Linked DNA regions of Cricetulus griseus. The protein of the gene in region 2 interacts with the protein of the main gene of each other region in a pairwise test. Links are inferred from orthologs where the notes say so. Each region holds a gene or a part of one and is shown on either strand. Other genes may lie near its edges.

Evidence for each region.
Region 1: the proteins of Rpp30 (region 2) and Rpp14 interact in binary tests that used the Homo sapiens proteins (3 or more experiments, as listed by UniProt). The link is inferred for Cricetulus griseus from reciprocal best matches to the Homo sapiens genes RPP30 and RPP14.

The regions. Positions count from the first base shown.
Region 1 is NW_023276807.1:76,003,998-76,010,445, reverse strand, and holds the start of Rpp14 (ribonuclease P protein subunit p14), read right to left. Parts: upstream 3,487-6,448; 5' UTR 3,284-3,486; coding exon 3,223-3,283; intron 3,206-3,222; exon of another isoform or gene 3,061-3,205; intron 1,001-3,060; coding exon 913-1,000; intron 820-912; coding exon 735-819; intron 1-734. UniProt on the Homo sapiens protein: Component of ribonuclease P, a ribonucleoprotein complex that generates mature tRNA molecules by cleaving their 5'-ends.
Region 2 is NC_048596.1:25,690,488-25,696,824, forward strand, and holds the start of Rpp30 (ribonuclease P protein subunit p30), read right to left. Parts: upstream 3,458-6,337; 5' UTR 3,392-3,457; coding exon 3,310-3,391; intron 2,085-3,309; coding exon 2,029-2,084; intron 269-2,028; coding exon 212-268; intron 1-211. UniProt on the Homo sapiens protein: Component of ribonuclease P, a ribonucleoprotein complex that generates mature tRNA molecules by cleaving their 5'-ends. Also a component of the MRP ribonuclease complex, which cleaves pre-rRNA sequences.

The sequences.
Region 1 (6,448 bases), on a different chromosome or scaffold from region 2:
TCTGCTCTTTCCTTCCACCATGTGGGTTCCAGGAACTGAACTCAGGACATCTTGCCATCCCTCACACTGCTTTATAAAGAGACCTTCTCACTCAAGTGTGATAGCTCCCATATAAACCCTTCATCTTTACAAAGATGGGCAATGATATTACCAATCTAGACTATAATTTGATAGCTGTGCAAAAACAAACCGTGGCCTACCAGGTTCCTTGTCAATACAGGGCACACTGGAATAACCTACCAGAACTCATTATTTCTGAAAGTTGGCTTTTGCAAATTCCAGTATACCTTTAAAAGATGATATTTCTGTGTTTCTTACAAAGTACTCTTCTAGGCCAGGAGTGGTGTTGCTTACCTTTAAGCCCAGTGCTTGGGAGGCAGAAGTAGGTGGTTCTGTGAATTCAAGGCTAGCCTGTTCTATAGAGCAAACTGCAGGACAACCAGGGATATACAGAGAACTTTTCTCAAACAAACAACAAAGTTTTCTTCATTTTAAAAAAGTATGTAGACAGGCTGACTTCCAACGGCTATGTAGAGGAGGTTTACCTTGAATTCTTATTCTACTTTCACTTACCAGGGGTAGAATCACAGATGCTAGAATTATGATAGGTGTGTGCCCAAGTGACAGGTATGACCCATCATTTCACCACTGGGCTAGATATACTCTTAGTCCCTTTTCTAGAATGTCTTATGAAAACCTAAAGAATCTTACTTAATCTGCCAAGTAACTCATACCTCCCCAAACAGGTCCTTCAGGGCTGAAACAAGCAGTTGTTTGAATTGGGCTGTATTCAGTCCAACTCCGTGTTCTTGAAACTCTCTGGAAAAAAAAATATTAAAAAGAGAAATTATCATATTAAACTCCATGCTTTTCAGATTGGGGTGGGGGGAAACATTATAAGACTGAACTTACAAGCAGACTTTCATGTAGTGGTACTCCGAGGGGCTCTTGTAAACTAGTCTTTCATATGCTGTAGCTGGCATCTTCAAACATGGAGTTCCTACAAGGAGTCAAGAGCGCTCATAATTACCAGATACACCTTATTATTATTAGTAGTAGTATTGTGTTTTTAAATTGAGAAAGACTTGTTATATAGCTAAGGCTAGCCTTGAACTGATCCTCCTGCCTTTCTCTAGGAAGGACAGAGATCACCAGCTAGAATGTCAGCACATCCAGCCTATTTGACTTTTAAAGACTTATTATAGTACTTTATGTAACCCTGGTTAGACAATGGTGGTGGTTAATGGTCACATGACAATGCATATTTCCTTAATGACCAAAAGAAAGTTAAAATGACACACTGTATATTTTACTCTTTTTAAGGGCACTTGCTGCTCTTGTAGAGAAGCCAGGCTGGGTTTCCAGTACCCACAGGGTCTGTACTCCAGTTCCAGAGGATCCAACACCCTCCTCTGGCCTTCCTAGGCACTGCAACAACATGGTGCATAAATACAAATGCAGGCAAATCCTCCATACAATTAAATAAAAATAAACTAACCTTTAAAATGATGACTTAAAGAGTCACTTTGTATAGTCTTAAGCTCTCAGAGTAAAATCTAGTATCGTCCTCAGTAGTTTGGCATCATACTCAACAGGTTCAAGATGTATACCTCTTACAGTCACTGTTGATACCTTTTTCTGATTGCAGGGATGTTGCTAGCAAGTTACTTGGTTTTGATCTTCTGCCCCCCTCTCTAATCTATATGGCTGCTGTGAACGTGTTAAACCACATCACAGCTAGGTGGTGATGCTAAATGCCCTTAATCCCAACACTCAGGAGGCAGAGGCAGGTGGATCTCTGAGAGTTCCAGCCAGCCTACTACAGATCCATGACAGCATGACAACCAGGGCTACCCACAGAGACCTGTCCTGAACCATCACCACTCCACCCCCCCCAAAAAAAAACAACAAAACCCAAAATGCCTCATATCACAACTCTGCTCAGACGTAGTGATGCTTCTGATTTTATGCAGAGTAGGGTGGAAATCTTTGAGGTCCTGCTTTGACCTCATGTACAGTCAGGGACAGCAAGAGAGAGGAACCAAGAGGACAAAAGAGAAACAAAAGAGGGTGTGAATAATCAAGAGAACCAAGAGGGCCGGTGTTGCTGGCACACACCTTTAATCTCAGCACTCGGCAGGCAGATCTCTGTGACTTCGAGGCCAGCCTGGTCTACAGAGCTAGTTCCAGGACAGCCTCCAAAGCCACAGAGAAACCCTGTCTTGAAAAACCAAAAAGAGAAAAAAAAAAAAAAAAAAAAAGAGAAGCAAGAGGAAGAGAAGAACCAAGAGAGCTGAGTTAATAATCAAATAGCTGAGTTACACAGGAACGAAAAGCTGGGCCTGAGGTGGTTAGGGGAGGGAGCAGGACTTGTCAGCCAGAATAACTGTAATAGGTACTTGTGAGCAGGGACTGAGGGGGCCTAGCATAGCCCTTGATATGCTAATAAGCACCACAGTCATAGGTTAAAAGAGGAGCCCAGTGAACCTTTAGCCAGAGGTAAGTGGAGAATGACTCAACTGTCTTAAATTCCAGAGGGAATGGCAGCTTTTGTCTAAGTGCCAGACCGGAGAAAAGGAATTCCTCTGGGGGTGGGGGTGGTATTCGAGACAGAGTGTGTAACAGACTTCTGACTGTCCAGGAACTCACTCTGTAGAGCAGGCTGGTCTCGAACTCATAGTGATCCATCTGCCTCTGCCTCCCGAGAGCTGGGATTAAAGGCGTGCACCACCACTACCCAGAGAACAGGAATCTTGTGAGACCTAACACTCTAGGCTTCCTCCTCCTCTTGGCCTCGGCTAAGACTAGTTTCTCTGCAACCCAGAAGCCGGTAGCCACGTGTCTCACACTTCCTAGCCTCCTTCATCTTACTCAATGCGTTCCACGGCTCAATCTGATCTACGATGGCGCCAACCCCTCCTTGCCCAGTCCTTGCAACCCTTAAATTCTAACAGAACTACAGAATATCTAATCTCCACTTCCTTCCTCCTGCCTCTCACAACGCCTGTACTCCGAAAAACAATGTTTAGTCCCTATGGCTTCTACCGGATTCAAACGTGCCTTGCACATTGAAGCACACGAAACACAACTCTGGGACTCATGGGAGCAAAGCAGCCGTGGAAGAAGCCCGGCCCCCTACTGCTCTAAGAGTTATGCGGTTTGCAATCTTGCTCGACAACAACCGCCATCTACTTGGCGCCCACCACGAGGGGAGTGCGCTACCTTCAACCTTCCCCGCCGTCTGGAACCCGGACCGACCTGCCAGCCGCACCGCCTCGCGCATGCGCACCCGCACAGGCCGCGGGCCGTTAAGAGGCTCCGGCGGCGCTGGATCGGCCGCGTCCCTGTCTCCTGCGCGCTGCTAGAACCGGGCGCGGGTCGGAGTTCCCACGCAGCAGCCCAAGTCTGGGCCTGCAAATGTGATGTGTTTACATTTGCCTCCGCCCCGCACCTCCCCACAGACGCGACGCGCAAGCGGAAGTGACATCACTGCTCGGCGTCGGCCCCCTAGACGGTGGCATGGTCCTCAGCCGGGCTGAGGTCGATGGGTTCAGCGCCCCCTGGCGCCCATTTCCGGAACTTGCATTTGTGGCATGTTTTTTAGGCGCTAGCAATCTTCGTGGTCATTTATCTCTACATTCATTTGCAACAGTTTATATCAAACATCTCCTCTCTTAGATTATTTTCCTTGTTTTTTTCTTCTTTCGCTGTGCCAGGGATCAAAACCACCGCTTCATCTATGCTAAGCAAGTCCTCCACCACTAAGCTAAATCTAAGCCTTGTCCTCTTCAAGAACATCTCTCAGGCACCAGACAAGATCCACTGTCAGTGGCCCTTTATGGCTCCTATCACACAGTTCTGTCTTGACATGGAAAGATCTAGCTGCTCCTGTATCCAGATGTAAGTTATTCCACTTTTGATTTACTCACCAAGAGTTTGTTCTGAATTCACTATGTGCTAGCCGCCATTCTGGGCGGTGGGAGCTCAGGAGCATAAGGTATAGTCCCTCTCTATGTGTGACATATAGTGTGTATTTAATAGTAACAATAGCAAATTAATATTACTTGGTGCCAGGCATTGTACAAAAGATTTTACCTAAGTTATCTAATGGAACCCTCAAACAACCTTGGGGTAGCTATTATCCCAATAGGGAAAGGTTAAATTATCTGCCCCCACCCCATCATGATTACAAGTGGTATTACAGATTATCTGCTTTGGCCAGTAATGTCCAGACTACACCATCTTAAACCAGCTGGAGTCTGAGGTGATCTCTGTGTGTGGGGACTTGTGTGATGGCTTATCACTGCCTTGTATGCCTTGGTACCAGCGGTCACTCAGCTTGTACTTACTAAAAATGTTTTTGATTTGGCCTGAGCTAGACATGGCAGTGGGCATAAAATGTATGCCTTGCACAGCCAATCCTGTGCCTAGGCCAGTTGGGGCCTTCTCTATAACTGAGAAAAGAACCTAATATTTGTTGTTTCCTAAAACTCTGTCATTCTTGTCTTGGCCATGCTCTGTAGTCATGTGGCTTCTGCTCCTTCCCCCTCAGGGGGGACAGGACTTGTTTCAGATGGGGAATAAATGGAGGAAACTAACACTGACACTAGATAGTGACATTTTCTTTCTCAAAAAAAAGTTTGGATTTTGGAAGTTGCCAGAACTGGCTTGGAATCCAGTTCTTCACTTCTTGTACAGATAGATCATCACCAACTTCCTTGAGGAGTTGTAAGAAACTCTTTTGGCAGTAGAAGGAATTAGGTGTCTTGTAAGAAGCTGGTGCATATTTAACAGACACTATGAATTATGAGTCTGAAATAGCTCTCTTAGGTTATCAGTCACCTTCAAAGTATCTATGTTTAATTATACATACCAAGTCAGTTTCCATCTGGTCACATACACTTGGTGACATGCAGGATTTCGTGGAAAATCTTTATCTTTTAACTCAACCACTACAGCTCTCAGTCCATCCTATTTCACTTACCATTAATTTGTGTGTGTGTGTGTGGGGGTGTGTGTGTGTGTGTGTGTGTGTGTGTGTGTGTGTGTGTGTGTGTGTGTGTGTGTTTTGGTTTTTCAAGACAGGGTTTCTCTGTGTAGCTTTGGAGCCTATCCTGGCATTCACTCTGGAGACCAGGCTGGCCTCAAACTCACAGAGCTCCACCTGCCTCTGCCTCCCGAGTGCTGGGATTTTTTTTAAAGATTTTATTTATTTATTATGTATACAACATTCTACTTCCATATATATCTGCACACCAGAAGAGGGCACCAGATCTCATTACAGATGGTTGTGAGCCACCATGTGGTTGCTGGGAATTGAACTCAGGACCTCTGGAAGAGCAGCCGGTGCTTTCAACTTCTGAGCCATCTCTCCAGCCCACCGAGTGCTGTGATTAAAGGCATGTGCCACCAACGCCCGGCATGTTTAACTTTCTATCGTGGTGTCTCATACATGTTTGTAAGCCTTCCTCAGCCCTTCCCAAAACACACAAGTAAGTACACGGTTACTTGTCTTATGCAGGGTTACTATTACTGTGATGAAACACCATGACCAAAGGCAAGTTGGGGAGGAAAGGGTTTATTTAGCTTACACTTCCACACCATAGTCCATCACTGAAGAAAGTCAGGATAGGAACTCAAATAGGGCAGGAACCTGGAGGCAGGAGCTGATGCAGAGGCCATGGAGTAGTTCTGCTTACTGGCTTACTCAATCTGTTTTCTTATAGTACCCAGGACCACCAGTGCAAGGATGGCACCACCCACAATGGGCTGGGTCCTCCCCCATAAATCTCTAATTAGCTCTACAGACTAGCCTACAGCCAGATCTTTTTTGTTTTATTTTTTGAGACAAGGTTTCTCTATATAACAGCTCTGCTGTCCTGGAACTTGATTTATAGACCAGACTGGCCTCAAAGTCACAGAGATCCGCCTGCCTCTGCTCCTGAGTGCTGGGATTAAAGGTGAACACCACCGCCACGGCCCAGTTTACAGCCCAATCTTATAGAGGTATTTTCTCAATCGAGATTTCCTCCTGTTTCCTGTGATTATAGCTTGTGTCAAGCTGACATAAATCTAGCCAGCAGAGTGTTTTGATGGTAGGCATCCTGGCATTGTTCCAGTGGAACTTTTTTTTTTTTTTAAATGGGCATTGGTGTTTTGCCTGCATGTATGTCTGTGTAAGAGTGCCAGATCCCCTGGAACTGGAGTCACAGACAGTTACCAACTGCCACATGGGTGCTGGGAATTGAACCCTGGTCCTCTGGAAGAGCATTCAGTGCTCTTAACCATGGAGACATCTCTACAGCCCCTAGTGGAACATTTTGAGTACGGCATACATTAATGCACTGGTTTTGTTCACACTTCATTTCTCTGTTCTCCTTTCCCTGCCTTGCTATTGGTGCCAACTAGATTTTCTACAGTACCCAGGGAGAAATCTATTCCACAATTG
Region 2 (6,337 bases):
CTACGCACATCTAGTAAACTACACAATGAGATAATTTAATAGCTGTGGGACTTTAGGAAGGATACCAAAAAGTTCGGATGGACAGTAAAAACTGATGAAGAGACGAGCCCTGATGGGAAGGTGAAACTGGCAGAAAGCAGAGAACACCACAGGAAGGCGAGATGTTTGAATTAAATGGGCAGACACTACACTTAAACACTAAAACGCCTACCTGTACAATTGGTAAAGTTGTGAAGAGTTCAGAAACTGCTACTGGCTTTTCAATTTCCTACAACAAATGATAAACAGCAATCCTAGTTACATGTTAAAGAACTAAGCACTACAAAACACTTTAAGGGCATCTCAGAAAAAAAAAATCAAAAAAAGCTAATTTCTGGTATTCAAATGTACTAAACAGCCTTTTTCTTTCTTAAGGAAAGAAACTAAAGAGCAGAGAAGATGCTCAGAACACCAGAGGATAAAAATAAGAACAATTTTTAAAGACAGAAATGACCTATAAGGTACAGTTGTTTAATTAAAAATAAGTATGCATACATATGTATTTGATAGTCTATTAAAGGTGTGGTGGTGGCACACACCTTTAATCCCAGCACTCGGGAGACAGAGGCAGGCGGATCTCTATGAGTTTGAGACCAGCCTGGTCTACAAGATCTAGTTCCAGGACAGCCTCCAAAGCCACAGAGAAACCCTGTCTCGGAAAAATAAATAAATAAATAAATAAATAAATAAATGGGAAAAAAATCAGTAAATGAGTTAATAAGACCATGGTAACAAGATATCGTGGTTATAGCTCATTTAACAGCAATGTAATTTTAAACATCTTTGAATTTGTATGATATATATTAGTTCAGTTATTACTGTAAAAGAGTAAGCATAGGGTGTTTTTAAAGAAGTATAGTTGAGGGTTGGGGATGCAGCCCAGTGAGTAGAGAGGGTGGAGACACAGTGTTGCAAGGTATTTGATTACATTGTGTAAAGATATGTCACTGTGTTTTAATAAATATTAAATGACCAACAGCTATGTAGAAGGTATAGGTGGGACTTCTGGACAGAGAGAACTCTGGGAAGAAGGGGGAGTCACAGCTGGACTCAGAAGAAGCATGACGTGTAGGAGGAGAGGTAAAAACCATAAACTACATGGCAGCACGATGATTAACAGAAATGGGTTAAGTCATAAGAGCTAGTTAGAAACAACCCTCAGCTAAGGCCAAGTTTTCATAATAAGAAGTCTCACTATTTGGGAGCTAGCAGTACAGAGAAGACTTGCCACATGGCAGCTCAGTAAGTAGAGGTAGAGTGATTTCTAAAATGCACACCACCTTGCCTTCTACCCCTGCATCTCATAAACTGGGCATGGGCTTGTAATCTTAGCAGGAGGTCTTCGTTGGCAACACAGTTGAATTCCAGGCCAGATTGGGACACATAAGATTCTGTCTCAAAACGCAAACATGCTTGTGATGACTTATGCTTCACTACCAATTTTACTGGACTTAGAAATGATGATGGAAACACACCTCTGTATTTCTATAATGGTGTTTCCATAAAGGGTTAACCCAGGAGGGAAGACCCACCCTGAATGCAAACTGAGCTATTTCATGGGTTGGAGTTCTAAGGGAACTAACTAAAAAGGAGAAAGTGAGCTGAGCCCCAGCATTCATCTCCTGCTTCCTGACCGAGGAGGAACTGTGACTAGCCACTTCATGCTCCTGCTGCCATACCTTCAAAGTATAAGAAAATAAACTCCTCCTTCCTTGTGTTGTTTTTGTTAAGTATGTGGTCATTGCAACAAGTCCACATTTCTAGTTCCTTATTCCCAACACAAATACAAATATTTGTAAATGTTGTTTTTGATATTTTTTTCTGGGATAGGGTTTCTCTGTGTAGCTTTGTAGACCAGACTGGCCTTGAACTCAGAGATCTGCCTGCCTCTGCCTCTGGAGTGCTGGGATTAAAGGCGTGTGCCACCACTGCTGGGCTTGTAAAGTCTTAATATTTATTTACTAATTAATCAGAGAAATCTTATTTTACCTGTTTCTTTTCCTTAAAGTCAACAATATGATTGATGGCAACAACTGAATATCCAACTGAAAAAAAAATAGATTATTTAAAAAATATTCTTTCTTGTTCAAGAGTATGAGATGAGGTTAGGGATGTAGCTAAGTGTTAGAATGCTTGCTTAGCATACACAAAGCCCTGGATTCTGTTTCTAGACTTGGAAAGTAAGAGGGTTTAATAATATTTACTGTTATGTTTCAGGTTGTTCATCTGTCAAGTGATGTTAACAGCAGACAGCACTTCAGAGTGTCATGAAAATTAAGCATTTTAGAAGAGTGCCAGGCACATATTTAGGCTGTGATTTATGCTAGCAAAACACTAAAAACACCTTGTTTCTGCTTTCCAAACAATATTCTCAGGATTTCCTGCCCCTTTGTTCATTTTTATTCCATCAAGTTTATGTGTCTTTCCGTCACCTTCATTATCATTCATTTCTTCTGCGATGCTCTATTTCCTCCCTTACCCGAAGGTGCAATGGAAGGACGAATCCCTTACACCTCTTTTGAGGTGCTCTACAGTAAAAGACAGGGAAAACGACGGTTTGCCTTATCCTCACAACAGTTAGCACTGCTTGGAAAAGTGCCTCTGTCGCCAACACATCTAAATCACGACTCTTGTCTTTAAGTTGTCTAAAGACCAACAAGATGATAGAGTATTAATATAAAAGATAGTGCATGGTAATGGCAAACTAGTCTAATAACTCCCGAGTTCAAGCTATTAGAGCATCCATTATTTGACAGACCCTATGGCAGGCGACAGCACACATGATTAATGCTCATCCCCAAGGAACTTAAAACTCGGGAGAAATAAGGTAACACCCTCCCCATTCTCTAAGAGTCCACAGCAGTTCCTGCCTGCGACCCAGCTTTCTGTATTTGTCAGATGTCGTCGGGGCCCAAAAGGACTGACGTTAAAAGCACCCACCGGCTTAGGGGACTGTACACCTGGAGTCCAGTCCCAGAGCCTACCATTCATCAGCTCACAGCCCCCTTGCCAACACCTCGACCCCTTTGGCCTCTGTTCTCTCCCTCCGCACGGAAAGACTGTGCAAGCCCAGGCAACGGCAGCTTCCTCAGTAGCCTGTGAGTTTCACACGCCAGGGATCCGGGAGACATAGCAACTACCATTTGCCTCTAGGGAAATGCCGCAATCCCACGAGAGACCCAATAATAGGGCCTGGAAAAACTACCAAGCAAACCGGTGGTATGGGGGCAGCGAGGGGCCGGGCTCGCGGGGCGAAGCCAGTAGACTCACGGTGAGCAGCGGTCTCCACCAGTCCCCGAAGAGCCTTCAAGTCCGAGCCCGCTCTTAGGTCCAAATCTGCGAACGCCGCCATGCTGACGTCCCAGGAGCACCCGCGCGCCAATCTGCGCAGTCGCCCTGTTATTCCTCGAGCATGCTGGGAGTTGTAGGCTGTCACTTTGGCATCCTGGGATTTGTGGTTTTTCCCTTCTCAGTCGTCTACTCTCTGCACAGTATTTCCTGTCCTCTAGAAACCAGCCAAAGTTAGTGTGCTCGAACCTACAGCCTCACTTACTCCCTTTTTGTCGTGATTTGAACGAGAATGTTTGGTAGACACAGTAGGGTCTTTCCCCCCGCCCCTCTCGCCAATACAACAGAGTAGAAAGTGATTCATTCTAAACACACCCATAGAGCATTTTGAGATCAAGCAGACGTCTAAGGTCGTGAAGCCCTGTTCCAAGAGCTGGGTGAGCCTGGGGTGGTGGCCCACGCCTTCAGTTCCAGCAATTGGAGGGCTGAGGCAACTCTATGAGTTTGAGGCCATCCTGATCTACACGGTGACATCCAGGCCAGAGAGGGATACATAAGTCTCCAAAGTAGGTAAGTTGATAAGCACATGAAGAGACATGGGAAAATGTTTTTCTTTCCTTTCTCTAATGTCCATTCCATTCTTTGAAAATGGGCTTAAAAGCCTCTTTGAAGCGCTTGCTCTGGGGCGGATTGTTTTAGTTCTTTGGGCTAAGCCTAAGATAATGGGTCTCTGTTATAGAAACATCTACAACCACAAGATGGCAGGGCACTCTCAAAGATGAAAGCTTAGCGACAATACACAAATTTTCATGAGACATATTGCAATATCATTTGATGTTTCTACTTTAAAAATTAACTTTTGAATATTGGCAGATCAATTATCCGACGGCATAAAATGCTGGCATTCTTTTTAATCCACTTGATGCAGAAGGGCAGTTCTTTACTCCTTTCCATTCTGTCTCTGGCTGGCTAGCATGGGAATCCTTTATGCATTACCAATAAGCTGCCCCAGCCTCCTGCAGCTCAGTAATATGATATCTGAACTGCTGGGTTCTCAAATAAGAAAAGTCTATCGATCAGTAGGACTTGACCATTAGGACAATAACGAAGTGCTGAAAAGGTTTAGAAACATTTCAATTTCTGTACTGATTGCAAACAGTATGAGGACTTCCCCTCTGATCACACTTTGAGTAATACTCTTCAACATAATGGTCTCTAATTTCTTACTGATTTTTGAGAGAATATTTATTATTATTATTATTGTTATTTTGAAACAGGTTATTGTTAGTAGCCCAGGGTGGGCTCAAATTCACAATCTTCTTGTCTCAGAATCCCGAGCGTTGGGATCACAGCTGTGCTTTGCCACACCTAGCTTTGGTTAATTTACATAAAGAAAAAAATTGTTGTTTTGTTTGGTATTTCCCCCAAACAAAACAACAGCAAAACAACTTCTGCCACTAGAGCAAAGTCATACAAAACAAACCACTGGCTTTTCAACAGAATGTCTAGTGCTGGCTTTTGTACAAGTAGAAAGGCATCTTCATACATGATCGCAAAATCTGGATTGGTCAGTAGTATGGCCATAGTGTAGTGGACCTAAGTTAAGATTAAGAATTTTGATTATTTGATGCTGAGATTAGGTTGAAGAGGACATATTTGTTTTAAAGTCGTGGTGATGTTGCTGTGGACTTCACCATTTAGAATCCCTTTGCTCTATACCCTGAGCTTTGTTGAAGAGGAAGAGAAAGGGTGAGAAATAAAATGAACGGATGAAAATAATTGAGCACTATACTGGGGCAGACCATTTGCAAGTACTTATGTGTGTGTGTCTTATTAATTTTCAAAGCAATTAGTATTGTTTTTTCTTAAATCAACATCTATTTCTTTTGACATTTGAGCAACCAAAGAATTAGGCAATTATATAATGGCGGGTTGAAGCATTTGGCTCAGTTGCTGCGCAGTGTATTGTCTCCTGAGATAAGCAAGCAGAGAGGACAGTTGTGGATGGCAGGTAAAGGAGAGAAAATGAAGAGAAATAAAGGGTCAAGGAAGGTGAGAGGAAGCAGGGGATGGGAAGGAAGGAAAAGGAGGCAGAGGAGGAGGCAGGAGTGCGAAGAGGGAAAAGGATGGTATAGAGAAATGATACGGAATAAAAGGTCGAATATTGGCCTGAATGGGTGGCAGAGGCTGCAAGGATGCAAAGTTTGAAGAAAACATTAGAAATTCTTAAATGGAACAGGACCTGTTGCTTGCTGGTTTAATTCTCAAAAGAAGTCCACAGGGTGGTGGTGGTGGTGTGGTAATGGTGATGGTGGTGGTGGTAGTTTCTGTTATCCTGGACTTTAGGAAAATGGTTCTAAATAATTTTCTCTTCCATAATGGAATTTAGCATCAGGTCTAAAAGAAACTGGGAAAAAATGGCTAACCGTGGTGCCTAATAGCATACCAAAGTGCATGCTGGCCTCCAGACTGTTTCAGCATCTCAAGTACCAGTTACAGAGTCCATGCTGGCATCCTGGCTCCTCTCAGCTCTTCTCACCCTGCCGTCTACCCTAAACTTGTCTAGCTCATGAGCTTACCTGTCATAGTGAAGAATATGTTCAAAATTTGAACGCTATTGTCCTTAGAGAATCCATGAGAAAGTTGTTTCAGCTTGTCAGCGGCTAGTGTGTGAAACAGACCATCAAGGCACTTGCTCAAGATAGATAACTTTCGTGAGTGGAAGAGTCAAGCTGATCTTAAGAAACTGTCTATCCTTGTAAATTTTACTGCCGCTATTGTTCTTGCAAGACAATGGGTCCTGGGACTAATCGATAATTTTGCTTCTGTATAAACTGCTTGCTGGAGATAACCTAGGCTGCTACAAGATGTCTATTGTAAAAATTAGTCACCATAGGATGTGAGAGAATTCGGCCCCCCAAAAGCTGTAACTTTGTGGTTTCTCCCTTTATAAGCCCAGGGCCAGTATGAATAGCTGCTGCATCTTGAGAAACCTGAATCTGAGTATTTA